Linked DNA regions of Drosophila melanogaster. The protein of the gene in region 1 purifies or fractionates together with the protein of each later gene. This does not show direct contact. Each region holds a gene or a part of one and is shown on either strand. Other genes may lie near its edges.

Region 1 (5,532 bases):
AGAACTGATTAGTAAGGCATTTGTTGTACTATAGGTTATAATTATTCTGTTGTCTATGGTTAGTTTAGTCTTAAGTGCATCCTTTGATAAACTGCATCACGTTGAGCTCTGCTTGTAGTTCTTGGTGTTCATGATCTTCTTGCCGCACATGGCGCATATGGCCTTTTTGTAGGCGCACGCCTGGCAATAGTGCGAACCCATCTGGTGCACTTTCTGTCGGCAGATTCTGGATAATTAAAAATCAGATTAAGATATGCAGATGAATTCTTGAGGAGATTTCCCTACCGGCAAGGTGGTAAAGCAGTCCCTATGGGATTGTATCGCTCGCGGGCCGAGGATAAAGCCTTGTTCTCGTTGATTTTACGTCCTCCCGCAGGAGCTGTGCTCGTTCGCCAGGGATTGGGCGCTGAAACTTTGGAGAGCTTGGCCTCGCACTTCTCGCAAACCATTTTTGTTATCAATTCAATTTGTTTTTTATTTACGTTTTGCAAAAACAGAGTGACCATTCCATTGATATTAATATCGATTGTTTGCTACCGATTGACCGCATATTTCCCAACTAAGTGTCTATCGAAGGTTGTTATCGACCATCTCAATTGCAAATTTTGGAAGCGTAAAATGACTACAGAAAAAGGGGAGCAGTTGAGGTAAATTAAAATAAATACATATTCAATATCACTGAGTGAAGTACTCACTGTTTTCCAGACAACAACTGATAGCGGCGGTGGTAAAGAAACGAGCGGCGATTGCGAGAGCCCATGAAATCGTGGTGCGGCTTTTGGAGCCCGGAATACCGGAGCCCGAGTTCCTGTCCCTGGTAAAATAATGCAAATTAAAAGCTTGACGGGTAGACTAAGCATTTCCTGTACACGCAGCTCTGTGAGATTGGCCCCCCAAATTATTCAGACATAGTGGATGAGCGGGAAATAAACAAACTTTGCGGATATCCACTTTGTTCGACAGTTCTAGAAAAGTAAGTGTTCCAACAGAATCTAGAGGTTCTTCCAATAATTATCCTTTATAACTACTCTTTTAGCGTTCCCAAGCAAAAGTACAGTATCTCCGCTTCCAAAAACAAAGTATACGACATCACAGAACGCAAGAAATTCTGTTCCGGATACTGTTTTAAGGCCTCCGAATATATTAAGTCACAGGTGCCCACATCGCCATTGTGGCTGCGAGATAGGGAGACGAGACCCAGCTTTCAGCTGCTACCACGAAATACTTGACCATCGATATACATAGCTCTCAAAGCGTTTATATTTATTTCGTATAAGCATTAAGACCATTTCTTCATTACATTACTGGATTTTCGATGTGGGATTATAAACCCTAGGGAATATTTCTTAAAGCACTAGTCGATCTGAATTAGATCATGATTATATTGTCGCGCTCCAGCGTCAATTCTGCTTCGCGCTTGGCATCCTCTTCAGACCACTCTCCGCACTTGCTCAGCACGTCAGTTTCCCGCGGAGGTTCGGTCTAACAATCGGTGAAAAATTGGTGATTTCAAGGAACGCAGAAAACACGCGGAGGAACGATATAGAAATGTTGTACTTTATTTGAATTTATTCAGTTGTAGGCAATACCTCTTTGTCGTTGGCAGCCAGTTTGGTGAACATGTTGGCATAGAGTTTCTTCTCCTTGTTCTTGCTCTCTTTGAGTTTCTGCTTGCAGATGATCACTTGGTTGGCAGCCGCTTTGTTGCCAGGCTCCAATTGGATGACCTAATCGAATAAATAGCAATACATTGTATTAACTCAATAAATATACGTTTATCTTGGTTACCTTTTGGAAGTCCTCTAGTGCATCTTCCAGCTCATTGATAGTCAAGTTGCATTGGCCACGACGGTAGAGAGCCTTTACATTGTTCTTATCCAAAGCCAAAACCTCATTACACTAATATAAAATAGTCAAATGTATAAATTATCCGATTTGAGCGCATGTACTCACCTCCTGCTTGGCTTCGAAGTGATCGTTGGACTTTTGGTGGCACAGAGCAATGTTGCTGTGCGTGGCCACCTTAATCTTCTTCACCTCCTCATTGGTATGGACAGTGGTGGGCAAAATGTTCTTGCACTTGGTGTACATCTTAATGGCTAGAGCCCAGTTCTCCTTCTTAAAGTAGTTGGTGCCCTTCTCCTTGTACACCTTGGCCTCAGCCAGGCGCTCCTCGTCGCTCAGTTTCCACTCCTCCAGTCCCTTGCCGCAGTCGACGAGCTTTACTGTGTACTCCACTGTGGCATTTGGTGGAATCTTAAACTCCTCATTGCCCTTTGCTCCAAATGCATACTTGGCCTGGATCTTGATTCTATTACGCGCGTTTATAAGTTAGTCTGAAAAGCTTCTAATGCTCAAAGGGATCTATCTTACCTGGAGGTCTCGCCTACGTTCATCTTCTCCAGGGCAATTTCGACACCATCGATAATGCCGATGGCCTTACCCTCGCCATAATCAAACTCCACATCGCGATCCTCAAACACGCGGCCCTCGAAACTACCAGAAATGTGAGCTGTATTTGAATAACCGCATAAGATATACATAGTCACCGCATGAATGTGATAAACCTACCCTTGACAAAGGCGCCATCGCTGGGAGTGCGCTTTTTATCGCTGGCTTCCAAAATGGTGCGGTCAATACTTCCGTCCTGGTTGGGACTCAAATCCTCGCCCTTCCAGCCGAGCATCTCCAGCTAAGAGGAAGAGTTTTAACGGTTAGTTAGGAGTTACTCATCTATATGTAAAATTCTTAAGAAACGCATAAAATCTGGAATTTTCCATATTTAGTTAACCAATAAAATTTCATTTCCTACCTCAAAAATCAGAGTAGCATCCGGCGGAATGGCTGGCGGGCTGCCGGCAGCTCCGTAAGCGTAGTTTGGAGCACATGTTAGGAAGCAGCGCTCGCCGAGCTTCATGGTGGCAACTCCCATGTCGAAGGCCTTGATCACATTGCCTGCAGGTGTCCGGTGGCAAGTACATTAAATAGAAGTTTCGCGAATTTGCCGGCGACACACTCACCTTTGCCGAGCGAAAATTCGAAGGGCTCATTGCGACTGAGGCTGGAATCGAATTCCGTGCCATCGACCAGGCGACCCGTATAGTGCAGGGACACAGTGCATCCGCTGTGCGGCGTCTCTGTGCCCGTGCCCTCTTTCAGGATCTCCTTTAGGACGCCACCGTCCCCGGACAAGTCGATTTTATTCCCTTCCGGCATTTTTGGCTGCTGAACTTTAATTCGCACGATGATGGCAGAGTGACCAAGCTCAAGCACGTTGGAAAGACCGTATTGATTATTGGGCTCGTGCGTTTTTCAGTCGCTTAACAGAACTGAGTTAACAGTCAGTGCTAACTAAAGCGCCATCTATAGTATTAGGACAGTTAAGGCAGTGGGTACAAAACACAGATAACTAGCTCGGACTCGAACCGTATCACATACCTATTAAAATGGTTTATTAGCTAGAATATTGAAATTTCTTGAGCTAATTAACGATAAAAACTTGAGAAATGCTATTAGAAATACAAACTTTATTTAGTTCGCATATGTTTCAAAATGACGAACAAGCTAATAGGAATAATTTTGTTATATATTAAGTTCGGCACTATGAATAATATTAGCTAAAATGCATATACCGTTCATTGTCTATTTGGTACAATTACAAGTCATTTTCTTGATTAATCCATTTCGGCCGCAATTAATGATATTAAAGGATGTCTGTTGTTCATTTCATTGTGTTGGCGGCTACAACAACAACACACACACACACACAGTGCTCTCCAAATGTAATCTGCCCAGCGGCTTTATGATTGCATGTGCATCCCTATAAGTGTATGCATCAAATATAATCCTGTTATCGTTTTTGTTATATTTGATTATTTTGCCCTTGGCTTTTGGCAGTGCCAACTTCCAATTTCGTATGCCAGCGCAAGAGCAACAGAAATAAATTAATGCACTTAATTTTATTGGTTTCTATAATTCATGCTCGTAAGCTCGTCTGCTATAAGCTCTCCCGCACAGTAGGCCAATTTGGGGGATTATCGCAATGGGCATTCAACGATTTTTTCAAGGTCAACTGGAATGATAAAAATGATAAGTGTGCTCATGTTGCTGGATTCATTCTTCTTCCTACCAGCCAGCTGTGACATTATTTCCTTGGAATTCCGCCTGTGTCTTTATAAATCGCTGCAGCTGTCGCTGTCTCCTCCGCCTACTAAAATATTAGCCAGTCATCCAGCAGCGTTTCATCTTCGAGCTTCGGCACCAACTTCATAAAAGCCCAGAGTCTGGGCGCGCACTTGTCGCTCATTAATTAGGGTTCGTCTACAGGGATGACTACGCTGGAAAAATATTGTATATTACAATATTCCTTCAAAAAAAACGTAGTTTATTTAATAAATACATATACATAGTTAAGAAATAAATTGAACAAAAGTAATCAAATAATACACAATCAAACTAACTAAAGGGCTTATATATGAATGACGTATACGCAATATTATTAAGTATACGTTAGATGTATTAGAAACTTATATTATTGTATAATAAAAAAGATTATTAACTTAATTGTGAGAAGTGTCAACTGAAACGTTTAGAAGTCCATTAAGATGCTATTATAAATGGTGCCACAGGGCTTAGACTTTCGCTTCGGTATGCAATAGTCGTACTTCTTTTGGGCTTAAAGTATGTCAGCATATGCGAATCTCCAGATCTCCAGAGATTCTAGTGACTCCCTCGAAAGCAGCATATATATTTTTTTTTGAGTGCTCCGAGCCGTGTCCCTGTCCAGGCCCATTATTTTTTCAGGTATAGTATAGAGACATTGACCAGCGACGGACGCCCACAATCACGCTGCCTCGGCTGCTGTTGGCGTCTCCGCTGGCAGAGGTCCTGCTGTTGCTCGCTCGTTACTCGACTGTAAACATTCCAGGGCAGCTTTCACTCGTGCCACAGAATACACAGGACCAAAACGGACTCCCTAACGCGGTGACTCAAACCGTTCGGCTGCGCTCGGCTGGAAGCTTCGTTTTTCGTTTTCCGTTTCGGATTGAGTCAAATTGTGGATGCTGCGTGGCTCGTGGTCCATGGCCGTGTGAAAAGCTGCGTTGAGCGCATTAAGTCGTTAGGGTACAACCAGACAGGACGCACTTACTCCGAGCTGCCGCCATTCGCCTGCCTTGGCGTGTGTGTACCGTTAGTTCAGCTGTCCCGTGCAGAGTGGGAAAATTAGCGGGGAAGCCCCAACATCGAACCGAAATCGCAATCGAATCATAGCCAAATTTAAAGTCGCTGACTATCGAGGTGCATAAAAAGAAACTTGCTGGCTAGTGCGTGAAGAAAAAACTGCCAAAACAAGAAAAGTCAAAGAAAATTCAAAGAAAATAAATACTCCAATTCCCTCTGTGGCAGCTCCCGCGCGTCCAAGTGTGTGTAAGTGTCGTCTGTGCGTGTGTGCGTGCGTTTCCCCAAAACCTTCAGATCGAGTGTGTTCATCAACAACAAATAAGATAAAAAATTCAAAAAAAAAAAAAAAAT
Region 2 (5,779 bases), on another chromosome or scaffold:
TTCGCCACCCTACCCACATAAGATGTCAGCTTATAGGTTTATCTTGCATGCCTAAAAATCGCAAGGAGCATCACACGAAGAACAGGAACCCAGGACACTGCCCATTTGCTTGTTGTTGCCGTATTTCCATGTAGACTCAAGATCCAAGACTAGCACTAACTTCGCCACTACTTCCACAATTTCACATTAGATGCAAGATTATATGGACATCGTGCATGCCTCCAAAGCGTATTGGGAATCACAAATGAAACAGGAACCCCGGACACGGCTCATTTGCTTGTTGTTACCGTATCACTCGCCCGATGAAAACAATAAAGAATTGTTCATAAATGACATCCTGGGATGTCAACAAAAAGTAAGGTTTAGTTGTGCTTTCAGGTAAGGGAACTTAAGTTATCCGAAAAGTTGCTTTTCAATAAGATTCGTTTCTCGAATTGATTGTGCATGTTAACAGCTTTAAGTGGCAACCGAAAAGTATTTGGATAATTTGGCTTATCTCTTATTCATTGCCAGCAAACGGAATTAATCGTACATTTGTTAAAGCAAAGCCGTAAACGAGCGTAAAGTATCCGGGTCGAAGGCCTCATATTGCTTATTAAGTGGCTGCCGGGATGCCAGTTAGGTAACCATTTTGAGGCCCGCGGCAGACGAGTGTGCAAATAATTGAACCCACCACCAGCACCGCATCCAAAGAACCCAAGGAGGCTCCCGATGGGATTTATGGTACCTGTGCGACCCAGCCCAGTCAACACCTGTGTTACCCTGGGCGAAGCCACCATTGGAGCTCGTGATACCCCTCTAAAAATGTCAGGGTTTTTATTCGAACACCCTACACTCGGATAAATGTGGTAGTGTGTTTAACTATTTCTTTTAAATTGAAGGCTAAATATATCAATATACATTAGGTTCTACTCGATTGATACATTCATTAGCTAAGCTTGTACATTAACTTTGAATACTAATGCTCATCCAACACCTGATTGTGGTAAGAGTTTCTTGCAGTGTATCCCTCCCGCCCAAGATGCCATACAGAAACACCACCCACCCCCCCCCCCTCCCTGCTGGGCATCGGAGGCGTGAAAAGCGCTACTCACCTGCGCACATTCGGCATATCGCCGCGCTCGACAGCCAGCAGGAACTTCTTCTCCTCGAGCAGCAGAGGCTGTGGTAATCCCAGCGGCACACAGCACCCGCCCACCGATTTGGGGGCGGAGGAGGCGTGGCTGACGCCAGACGATACCTGGCATAATTTAAAGAGACAGGTGAGCAGGAGCCACATACGTACATGCCGATGTGGCGAGGGGGAAATCGTGTATGCGGAATTGCAAATAAATAAAAAATAAACATACAAGAAAATTAAGTGCAAAGTGGAGGATGCTGGGCTGATTGTCTGGCTTCCATCTAAATGGCATTGGAGGCGTTTAAGGTAAGCGGCGTTTAGCTAATACTGGCGGCTTTAAGACATGCTACTTGCTGGATACGGATCTGGATCGGGATCCTGGATGGGTTTCTACTTACGCCCGTCGGCAGCTTCTTTTTGCGACCCATTCTAGAGTTAGTGCACTTCACTTAACCGAACGCCAGCAGTTCGTAACTAGTATTCCATGTACCAAGTCCAGGGTTCAGAGTTCAAAATCCGACTTCATGTCGCAGGGCTTTGCACACTTGCAGTGAAAAGTGAACGATATTTACATATATGGCATATATATTTATATACACAATGGCAAAGCCAAAAAAGTCCAATACTAAGCCGGGCCACATGCAACTTTCAAGTTGATTTTGCTTTTGTACTCATAGTTGTATAGTCCATAGTTATATGTCCAACTGGGTGTGCTTGTGTGTGTTGGTGTGTGTGTGTGTGTGTCTGGTGGTTTTTGACTTGGTTTATGGTTTCTGGTTTCCGGCGTGCAAAAAGTTTCTATTTAAGCTGTTTATAATGTTTTTCTTTTTATTTCCGCCACTGACCGAGCTGGCTAAACCCTTTTTAAGTGCCATCTGCATGGGCAAGATTTAAGTTTTGCCAATTTAGTGAGTTGATTAGACACTGTGCAGTTTCACTGTTTCCCGACTGTTACTGGTCAATTCCAAAGGCCACACTGAACACCAAATTCGCGAGCACTTATTGCACCACTTATGACCAATTGTTCAATCGGCTTTCTGTTTTGATTTACATTTTTATTGCACTCATCTCATTAGCAACGAACTGCAGTTTGTATTAGTTGTTGCTGCTCTCATTGGATTGTTCACATCATCGCCAATCGTTTCTCCCATTAGAATTAATTTCTTTGTTTCCCAATATTTTCCCACACCCGATGAAAATATTTTTATTTTCCGCTGCCTTCCTCCGCATGTGTGAACACAATGCCAAAATGAATATTTAAGGAGCTTTTTTCGATAATCCGCAAAGAAAAAATGCATTCCGTCTACATGCTTTTGCTTTAAACTGGCTTTATGCTCCTGCGGATGCGGATCTGCATGCGGATATGGATGCGGATGCTGCAGATGCATTTAAAAGTGTTTGGGCTGGTCATAAAAAATGCAAGTGCTTTGTATGCGCGGCAGGCAAAAACTCGGAACCATCATCATGGCGGTTGTTCCATAAAAAACACTTCCGGTACCAACAAAAGGTGGTTCTGACTACCCCAGGAGCCCCGATGGTGCATTGTTTAATTAACTTAATAGAAATATAAGTGCGGAGGACGGGCGAAAATGCGGACGGACATAAAAATGTCGCAATAAATTCGGTTTTATCCGCCACTTCATGGGAAGCGTTTATAAATGGATTTATAGCTGTTCACCTGCACAGCAGGTGCATACTGCGACTGCCCATCGAAATGGGATTATATCTGCACCTGTATATATTATAACAAGTATAAACTATTCGGTTAACATACGATGTAAAATGCATATGATATTTCACTCTAATTTCTCCCTCTGCAGCCGAGATGTGTTAATTCTGCCTGGCACCGATCGAAGTATCATAATTTTGTCGCAAGCGCACTGGAGTTCATTAAAACTAGAACAAATTTTGAGTATTTTACAGAGTTCATAAAAACGAAGGGCTTATCGCGATGGCAGCCAGTTGAATCGAAACTCCAGCAGTCACAGACCACAAGCTCCGCACACACAGCCCCAACTTGACAATCAACGGAAGAGGTAGGAGCAACCTGCAGCTGCCAGGAGCAACCAGGAGCAGTCAGGAGCAACCAGGAGCACAATGAATGAAGGATATAGCCACGTAATTCAGTTGGCTCACGGACTGCACTTAAGCCACTTATAACCAAGCGTACGGATACGTACTTCTTGCATTCCGGCACATAAAAACGTGTGCAATTGTTCGACTCGCTGGCACAATGGACGTTGGAATTTCATGTGACCGGCTTAGGTGAGAGGACTGCGACTATGAATTGTATGCTGGCATATACTTTATAACAATACGTTTGGCCACCGAACTCCCGAATTCCCGTACAATGTGTGTTGTAGTTTATGTATATCTGAATTTCAGCTCTTTTGAAGGCGAAAACCCGCCGAGAGACAACCCGCGACGCAGCCCGAACGTGTGCCACCTGCGAAATTTACACGCTGCTACTAACGCGCAGAAATTTATACCTTTCCCGAGGGCCGAGCGGCGATGTGGCTAATTTAATTAGACTAAAACGTCAAATATTTGTCACCCATCGCATGGATACGCCTGGAGGTTGTCCGTGCAACATTTATCCACACATATATATATATATATATTTCTATAGGTTTATATATACGTTTGTGGTGTTATGAATTGTGGAGGTCGAGGGCTGAAACACAGTATCAACAAGTTTTCGCCAAGTTCGCCTAAGGGGATTAGGACCCAAACATATGTAGGGGCTGGTGCTGAGGTGGGACTGGTGGTGGAGGTGGGGGCCACGATCCAGACGGCGACTGTCGGCAATTGAATTACAACTAATTTGCCATGATTTGATTTGGGTTGCTACAGCTATTGTTTGCCACTTGCTCTTCGGGCTCTTTTCCGGCCACAAACTGCTGCACATTTGCGGATACTTTCGTGCTGCCCAATGCAGCGTGCGTAATTTGATTTGGAAAATTTCAGTTTAGCCTGCAGTTCGATTGACATTGATTAGCTGCTGTTTTCAATATATGTTAATAGCTGCGACTCGAAACATCTTGCATATAAATCTACTGCTCCTTCTACCATTATACACTTGCTATAAATCTGAAATCTACTACTAGTGTTTTCATTGCCTAATTTTTTTATATTGCAATTATTTCATCGTAACGCAGCATAATACTTGTAATTGTTTGAATTCAATTAATTAATTTTTCACTTGTACCGAATTTTTTCAAATGCTGATACCCATTAAACTGATTTCAAGTAAACCTAAAGAGCCTATGATTGTGTTATTTCAATAGTTTGTTTCATTTTCAACTTGCTATTGAAAAGGGTTCCTGGTTCCACTGGCTGCTCCACTTCAATTGGGATACAACGAACTGCTAGACAGTCCAAGAGGGTCCTTCACATGTTCATATGTCTCCGGCAGAGTCAGCCTTTTGACGGGCATAAACAAATTTGCCCAGGCAAATCTAAACTCTAGATACACAGAGGGCATGAGCAGTAACCAACTTGCCAAACAAAGGCGGAATTAAATCAAAAATCTTAAAATGGATTTTGATGAGATGGAGCATAGCGGGTTGTTGGGCTGCCGAGGAGGGCAGGGATGAGGGGAATCCTTTGGCGACAGACAACAATTGAAGCAGATTCCAGCATCAGCTGAAAAGTCGAGGTTTGGGCCGGAGCTTCGCATGACTGCACGTAAACAGGCGAAGCCAAACAAACAAACAAACACCAGATGAGGTTTTCGGGCGGAAAAGAGTGGAGCAGGAGCAGGAGGCGGGTGTGGCAGGTGGGTTACCATGACTGCGTCTTTTATCAAGCTGCATGCGGTGGGCGAAGAGCTCCAGTTCGGAGTAAAAGCATCCTTTAAGGTTCGTCCTGGCTCCAATCTCCCGATTCTCTGGCCGCGTTGCGATATATCTGGCACTTCCCCTGTCTTTTTTTTGTGCTATATCTTCTTGTTTTGGCCACGTGGCTTTTAGTAATACACTCGAAATTTTTGAAAATCACTTAACAAATAAACTATTTTATAATAAATAATACATAAATTAAGTATGAATTTATTACTTCGAAGACATCTAAGTTTGTGTGCTATCTAAATCTGCAAATAAATAATGGAGAACAGCAACTCAAAAAAGTATAAATCAATTGGTAACAAGTTTCCTTTATTTTTCTGTAGATCTTTTCAGCTTTTCCTAATATTTTCCAGTGCAATTAAACATAATTCTATATCTTTCTGTTGAGCTTCACAGCTTTTCCTAATACTTTCCAGTGGATCTGAGTGTGTCTGGCGATGGCAGTCCCAGAAGCAAACAGACAGTAAGTAGCATAGTTACACGCACGCCCTCACACATTTCGCAGCAGGTTATCCTGCAGCAGGTTATCCTGCAGGAGGCGATCCTGGCCAAGGAGCAGGAGCTGCGGAATAATATGATGCATTTCCATAATTCACCCGGCAGTTCGCCAAACGGTTTGTTGCTTTGCTGCCGCGCTGCACACACACTTTGCGTGTGTGGCAAATAAAATTGCATTCAATATTTCTCCTCGTTTCGCTGCAGCTCGTTGATGAGATTTTTTCCCATGGCGCCGACCTGCCACGCCCCCTCCAGACGTCATATTGTTTGTCTTGCATTAAATTTATGGCTGTTCCGTTGCTGCACTCGCCCTAAA

Evidence for each region. The genes of interacting proteins can lie anywhere in the genome.
Region 2: the proteins of Fkbp59 (region 1) and trpl purify together in Drosophila melanogaster (affinity purification with western blotting; one study listed by BioGRID). This does not show direct contact.

Annotation. Positions count from the first base shown.
Region 1 is NT_033779.5:9,885,827-9,891,358, reverse strand, and holds Fkbp59 (FK506-binding protein 59kD), read right to left. Parts: upstream 3,355-5,532; 5' UTR 3,217-3,354; coding exon 3,021-3,216; intron 2,956-3,020; coding exon 2,813-2,955; intron 2,693-2,812; coding exon 2,572-2,692; intron 2,513-2,571; coding exon 2,374-2,512; intron 2,312-2,373; coding exon 1,954-2,311; intron 1,900-1,953; coding exon 1,789-1,899; intron 1,728-1,788; coding exon 1,590-1,727; intron 1,483-1,589; coding exon 1,369-1,482; 3' UTR 1,240-1,368; downstream 1-1,239. Other genes in the region: mtDNA-helicase (mitochondrial DNA helicase), read left to right, coding at 1-8; CG4537 (uncharacterized protein), read right to left, coding at 97-226, 286-449; CG34183 (uncharacterized protein), read left to right, coding at 619-647, 706-817, 876-973, 1,037-1,229. UniProt on the Drosophila melanogaster protein: May have a role in phototransduction; inhibits or prevents Ca(2+) induced stimulation of the trpl ion channel.
Region 2 is NT_033778.4:9,751,499-9,757,277, reverse strand, and holds the start of trpl (transient receptor potential-like), read right to left. Parts: upstream 3,582-5,779; 5' UTR 3,439-3,581; exon of another isoform or gene 3,301-3,438; intron 1,665-3,300; 5' UTR 1,549-1,664; coding exon 1,519-1,548; intron 1,241-1,518; coding exon 1,095-1,240; intron 986-1,094; exon of another isoform or gene 1-985. UniProt on the Drosophila melanogaster protein: A light-sensitive calcium channel that is required for inositide-mediated Ca(2+) entry in the retina during phospholipase C (PLC)-mediated phototransduction. Required for vision in the dark and in dim light. Binds calmodulin.